Linked DNA regions of Callithrix jacchus. The protein of the gene in region 2 purifies or fractionates together with the protein of the main gene of each other region. This does not show direct contact. Links are inferred from orthologs where the notes say so. Each region holds a gene or a part of one and is shown on either strand. Other genes may lie near its edges.

Region 1 (3,500 bases), on a different chromosome or scaffold from region 2:
GACCATAGCACTGATGCCTAGGCAAGGGTAGTAATTTTTGCAGTGGTTCTTAAAACACCAGTAGTTTCTTAGTCAAAATCACTTGTTTTTTTTTTCAAACTAACAAGACTGGAGCCTTCGTAAGTATCTTACTTTTCTGAATCATATTTTCCAAGAATGGATAGAGGGGCAGGCATATGTATTTCTTAAAGATTCGCAGATAATTCTAACATGCAAACCCCAGTTAAGACACAATGATCCTGGGGCTGAGCACAAGGCAGCCTCGCTACTCTGGAGGTAGGCTGGCTGAAACTTTGTCCCCTGAGGTGTTCCATATTGTGTGGCAGTAAGCTGACTCAATCATACTTTTTCCTTGGGAAAGTATTAACTATAATTGAGCTTGGAAAATAAACATTAAATGGACATTTGAGTTCAGGTTGTTGGCCAGAGCAAGGCTGAGATAATTCTCACATGCCCTATGAAGTACACTGCATCTCCCAGTCTTGAAGAACTTGCATGGCTGAGTTGACATCCATGTCCAATATATGCTTACAATAATATTCCATCAATTGACACCTTCTATGCATTTTGCTTCTCTGCTACCCTAAATTCACACAACCTGACAACACACATTTCTATTCTCTTCCCCAGTCCTTATTACACTATATTAACAATTAACTGTTTACTTGTTAGTATAGCCTATGATCATTTAAGGCAAGGACACTCTAGGTACCAAGACGTAGTGCATCTGATGCTTAAAATACAATAAAAAAGTAAAACATATTATTAAAGATATTTATGTAACGAAAGTGAAACCATAACTAAAAGGAGTTAAGATTTTACTCTTTATTCTTTTAATATTACAAAGGCAAACTTTAAATATTGCAATAATGTATTACTTTGTGTTTAAAAAGATTAAATGATTATATGTATAGAGGAGAGGTGATGATAAATTTATTTTTAAGCAATTGAAGAATTTTCTACTTAATATTAGAACTTTATCAAGACTGAATGTTTATTTGTAAAGAGAGTTTCATAATAATTTATTAAGCAATTTGTAGGAGATAATCAAAGGCATTTGTTTTGTTCTGTAACACAAAACTGCTTACCAAAAGTTTTAGCAGCTTGGATAGTTTCTCTGGATCCCCGAATTGTCATAATTTGGGCCAAAGCAGTTAAATCATCACTTGCTTTATAAAATGGATATCGTCCACTAAGCAAAGAAAGAAATATGACACCTGCAGACCACATGTCGATTGCTGTAACAGAAGATAAATTTTAAAAATAAATTTCAAATATATAATTTTATTATCTAAATCAATAGTTCTCAACATTTACTATGCATTAGAATCATCTTGGGAGCCTTAAAAAATTCAGATGCTCAGACCCAGAGATTTTGATTGCACAGTTCTGAAGCAGTTCAATGTTTTAAAAAAGTTCCTCAGGTGATTTTAATATATAACCAGGATTAAGAATCCTCTCTGCAAAATATAATGTTTCCTTCTAGAGCAACATTTGGTACATTTAAAAGGATATTTAGTCATTAGGAAACACTAAGTAAATGTACATTTTATAAGATCAAATGGAATCCAAAAATAGCTATGTGGGAAAAAATCCAGATGATCCTCGAGTATGACATACCATACCGGTCAAAGGGCTTTCATTTTAGTGAAAAGTAATGAACATTAGAAGGTCTTCTTCAGCGGACACTAGCACTAACTACTGCTCTAGAAACTTTTAAAAAGTTATATTTTTGTACAGTTGTGAAGACTAATTTTTGTGAGTACAGAGTAGATGTATTTATTGATAAGGCATATGAGATGTTTTGATACAGGCATGCAATGTGTAATAATCACATCCTGAAAATAGAGTATCCATTCCCTCAAGCATTTATCCTTTGTGTTACAAACAATTCAATTATCTTCTCTTTTTTGAGACAGGGTCTCGCTCTGTTGCCCAGGCTAGAGTGCAGTGGAGCCGTCTCAGCTCACTGCAACCTCTGCCTCCCAGGTTCAAGCAATTCTCGTGCTTCAGCCTCTTGAGTAGCTGGGATTATAGGTACGCGTCATCATGACCAGCTAATTTTGTTTTTCTTTTTGTAGTTTTAGTAGAGACAGGGTTTTGCCATGTTGGCCAGGCTGGTCTCAAGCTCCTGGGCTCAAGTGATCTGCCTGCCTCGGCTTCTCAAAGTGCTTTTAGTTATTTTAAAATGTACAATTAAATTATGATTGACTATAGTCCCCCTGTTGTGCTATCAGATACTATGTCTTATTCAACCTTTTTTTTGAGATGAGGTCTGGCTCTGTTGCCCAGGTTAAAGTGTGGTGGTGTGATCTCAGCTCACTGCAACCTCCGTCTCCCAGGCTCAAGTGATCCTCCCACTTCAGCCTCCTGAGTAGCTGGGACCACAAGTGTACAAGCTACTTTTTTGTATTTTTGGTAGAAATAGGGGTCTACCATGTTGCCCAGGCTGGTCTCGAGCTCCTGAGCTCAAGCAATCCACCTGCCTTGGTCTCCCAAAGTGCTAGGTTATTCATTCTTTATAACTAGTTTTTGTACCCGTTAGCCATCCCCACATCCCCCACACCCTGCCACTACCCTTCTCAGCCTCTGGTAACCGTCTGTCCCCTCTCTATGGGTTGAACTGTTTTGATTTTTAGATCCCACAAATAAGTGAGAACATGCAATGCTTGTCTTTTGGTGCCTGGCTTATTCCACTTAACATAATGATCTCTAGCTCCATCCATGTTGTTACAAATGACAAGATCTTTTTCATGGCTGAATAGTACTCCATTGTTTATAAGTACATTTTCTTTATCCATTTATCTGTTGGTGGACACTTAGGTAGCTTCCAAATTCTGGCTATTATGAATAGGGCTACAACAAACATGGGAGTGCAGATACCTCTTTGGTACATTGATATCCTTTCTTTTGGGTATATACCCAGCAATGGAATTGATGGATCATGTAGTAGCTCTATTTTTTAGTTTTCTGAGGAACATCCAAACTGTTTTCCATAGTGGTTGTGCTAATTTACATTCCCACTATAGGAAGTTTAATCTTCTGACTTCTGGCAGTTAAAGATTATGACTAGCTCAACTTCTTGTTAAAGAGTTCCTTGTTTTTTCTTTTAAGTACGTCTTTTCTAATTGTTGACCTCCTAGTATCACCAGGTTATATGCTCTCTATTCCTTTGGCTACTGTATCACTTGCCTGCCTTCCTTTATTTTCCTTTCTCTCTCTCTCTTTGAGATGAGATGAAGTTTTGCTTTTGTTGCCCAGGCTGGAGTGCAATGGTGGGATCTCAGCTCACCACAACCTCTGCCTCCTGGGTTCAAGCGATTCTTCTGCCTCAGCCTCCCAAGTAGCTGGGATTACAGGTGTGCACCACTAACACCTGGCTAATTTTTGTATTTTTAGTAGAGAAGGGGTTTCACCACATTGGCCAGGCTGGTCTTAAACTTCTGACCTCAGGTGATCCGCCCATCTCAGCCTCCAAAAGTGCTGGGATTACAGCATGA
Region 2 (3,500 bases):
GAGTGCCCTGAGGGAACCTGCCCACTGGGGATGAGTCCTTCCTGCTCAATCTCCATGCTGCTGTGGCTGTGTCCTCCAGGGCCAGAGCATGGGCTGGGAGGTCAGCTTGTGTGTCCCCTTCCCTGCAGGCCTCATCTAATGCCCTGTCCTCCTCTCACCCCCTGGCAGCATCTTCAGAGTGCCCAGCACCGGGGCTTTGCCCTAGAAGCCCGTCCATATGCAGAGGTGGACAGGATCATCGCCCAGCTCAGCCACAGTTTTGCAGACATTCCTTTCCAGGCCAGTCTCCCCAGGTGAGTGCCGCACTGGCAGGCACAACTGCATCTGCACTCTCCTCTGTTGCCCTCTAGGTGGGAAGAGACCTCAGGTTGGTGGCTGCTAGGACCAGACTGTGATGTTTTTCTCTTTTCTCACCTTCTTTTCCCCTCATCCTTGGTCCTATTTGTTTTGGGGGTGGCCAAAAATAAAAAGACCTCCATTTGTGGCTTCAGTTGATCAAGATTAGACCTAGACCAGACTGTGGCTCCCTTCCTACAGGCTTTGATGTGGATAATAAGCCGTTCTGGCCAGGGAGCAGGGGGAGTAGTTCCTGGGCCCCTCCCAGATGGGTAAAGAGCAAAGTCTTTCTCCCTCTCTAGAAGTCACGCCCAGAAGGAACCACTGCATGGGGATTGGTGGGAATTCCAGGTCCCTCTGAGCCCAGCTACCCATTTCTGCCAGGAAGGCAGATCCTCTCCTACTTGGGGCAGTGGCTTCACCTCTCATCCCAAATCTCCACCTCAAGCTCAGCTCTCACAGCCAGACACTGCGCTGCTTTCTCTAGTTGCCAAAGGGCACAGCCTCCTCTGTGAAATAATTAAATGGAAGAGCCTCCAACCTGTTCCTCTGGTCGGCCCCAACCACAGGCCACAGAGCCAAGAGAAGTACACACGGTGCTGGCTGCTGCAGCAGGTTCAGACCCAAACAGGAGGGCTTTCACACAAGGCCCCAGAGTAGGCAGCTCTCTCAGCACACAAACTGCCAGCTGTGGCAGCTCTCCCTGTGCCCTCAGCCCTGGGCCACACCTGCTGTGGAGTTGACACCTGCGGCTCACTGGGTGTTTCTGTCCCAACAGGTTGTCAGGTTCCCTGGCTTCTGACTGTGACCCTCTCTTTCCTGAGACTCTGCACCCCTGCCAGCTCTCCCATCCCAGAGCAGCATCTCCCAGGATGAGGAAAGAAGACAGCTGCCAGGCATCAGGCTTCCCAGAGCAGGATGGGACAGTGGACAGCATGCAGGCACCAGCTGAATGTGCAGGGACTGGCAAGATACCCGGACCTATAGCAAGCTGCCAGGACCTGGAGGGGTCAGTTGATGTGTTTGTGGACCACCCAGGGACACTGGTGTCCAGGAGCCCTGCTTGCCAATGCCTCCTGCCTAGCTGTGGTTTTATGGAACTCTCCTCTGGCCCAGACCTGGCACTTGTTGGCCACAAGCGGAAGGTTCAGTTCCCCAGTGGCAGTGCTGAGAAGAGAGCGGGGGCCTCCTGGCCACAGGCTTCATTTTTTGTCCCAAGAGCCCCCAGCCCCTGTGGTACCAGGACAACCAGTGGCAAGCATCTTCCCTCTCTTCCTCTTTCAGGCCATGAGTCTAGGCCCCTTGCCTCCCTCCTGCCCTCATGCCACTCACAGACCTGCCTCTCTCTCCCAGACCCCTTCCCCTGGCAGCTCACAGACAGACCAGCAGAGTTCTGGGCCACACATCCCCCCTGGCCAGGCGGAGAGTGGCCCCCAGGGCCTGAGGATTCTGAATGTGCAGCCCCTGGCCCTGAATCCCAGGAGGCTGGCCAGCTGCCCCATAGCTCCAGGCTGGCCATCAGCCCCGCTGCACTCAGCTACCAGTGAGCAGCCCTCAGAAGCACCTGCAGAGAAGAAGTCTACCTCTATCCCCAAGCCCCAGCTAGCCAGTGCAGGAGCCAGTTGCTCCCGATGCTTCTGGGCCCCCCAGCCTCTCCAGGTGCCCTCCCTCCCTGTCTCCCAACCCCGGCCCCAGCCCCAGCCCCCTACTGTCAGAGAGCTGCTCCTATGAGTCCCCAAGGTGCTTGGCTCTTCACGGGGCGAGGCAGCTCCAGACTGAAGGGCCAAAGACACAACTTATTCTTCTGCTGGGTGCCACACATCCCGCCAGGGCTGATCAGGACACAGGAGGGGCAGAGCCCCAGGACTTCCCCAAAAGAGCCAGAAGGAGGCCTGGGCCTGGCCTTTGAAGTCCAGTAAGCAGCTGTCACATTCAGCTCCATGGAGCTTACGGAGCCAGCCCTCCCACTGGCCAGGTCTTTGGGAGAGAATCTGGGCTGGAGGCAGCCCTCTCCTACTCCCACCTCCACCATGTTCCTAACCAGGCAGAGTCTACAGTGGGCTTACCCAGCCGAGGCCGGCCACCCATGCCAGGAGGCAGAGATGAAGTTGGCATGGGGAGGGACCACAAAGGAGTTGGGGCAGCAGGAGTCCTGGCCCAGCTTCCTGGCCCTCCGCAGGCTGTTGCCTCTGCAGAGCCGAGGGTTAGCTGTTGGTATTCTCCACCCCCAACCCCAGCCTCCTTTTCCACGAGCATGTTGCCTCTCTTGCTTTCCGAAATGCCTGTGTTCATCCCCTCCCCCAGCCCCCCACACTCCTGCACACAGATCCTCAGGAACATATGAAGCAGAGGAGGGGCTCGGGCTGTGCCACTCACAGAGCTCCCTCCCCCAGGCACTTAGTTGGGGCCCAGCACTGACATTTCCCCTGAGCCCAGGATGTGGAACCCCTCTCAGCCCTTCTCTGTCTCCTCAGCTTGAGCTGCCCACCTGGAGTTCGGCTATTCCGGGGCCAGTGTGTCACCTGCCAACTTCCACTCACCCTCCTCCCTCACTCCCTCCTCTCTTTCCCCAAGGACCTCCCCCCATTTCTGGCAGCCAAGCCATTAATCTGGAGACAGAAATGGGTTTGTTATCGATTCTCTGGCCACTTTTTTTTTTTTTTCATTACAATTTGTACTGTGGTTCTTCTCACCCTTCTCTGCATCCATGCATTGTCTCTTTAAATGTTGAAGCTCCCGGAAGCCTGGCGCTATTCTGTGTCTCCTTTCAGAGGAAGAAAGGGGGGCCCAGCTACTGGTGAGGACCCAAGTTCTTAGTTTGGAAATAGAGCAACTAACTGTGTGTACAGCCCACCTTAGAGGTCATGTTACCCCCTTCCTGTTAAGTTTTATAATGAATTTTGGTTCAGGAAATGTAAATAAATTTGTTAATAACAAATAGCAAAGAGATGAGGCTGGAGTGTCATGTGTTGGTCCTTGATCTGCCCTCCAGTGACCCAAGGCAGGGCTGCGGGCCTGCAGGGAATCGTTGGATGGTGGGATGGGGCTTTCTGCAAGCTGTACATGTGTGAGTGCCTCCTGCGTCTCCCCCAAGGGCTCCGGGAGCAGTGCGGCCTCTGTCCCTGCGCAGCCTCCTTTACCCAGTCTCATCCTGTCACCTACTT

The links.
Region 1: the proteins of DBF4B (region 2) and CDC7 purify together in Homo sapiens (affinity purification with mass spectrometry; 3 studies listed by BioGRID and IntAct, counting the BioPlex papers as one, with this or other methods). This does not show direct contact. The link is inferred for Callithrix jacchus from reciprocal best matches to the Homo sapiens genes DBF4B and CDC7.

What each region holds. Positions count from the first base shown.
Region 1 is NC_133508.1:128,976,205-128,979,704, reverse strand, and holds part of CDC7 (cell division cycle 7-related protein kinase), read right to left. Parts: intron 1,239-3,500; coding exon 1,089-1,238; intron 1-1,088. UniProt on the Homo sapiens protein: Kinase involved in initiation of DNA replication. Phosphorylates critical substrates that regulate the G1/S phase transition and initiation of DNA replication, such as MCM proteins and CLASPIN.
Region 2 is NC_133506.1:85,152,312-85,155,811, forward strand, and holds the end of DBF4B (protein DBF4 homolog B), read left to right. Parts: intron 1-168; coding exon 169-293; intron 294-1,114; coding exon 1,115-1,883; 3' UTR 1,884-3,281; downstream 3,282-3,500. UniProt on the Homo sapiens protein: Regulatory subunit for CDC7 which activates its kinase activity thereby playing a central role in DNA replication and cell proliferation. Required for progression of S and M phases.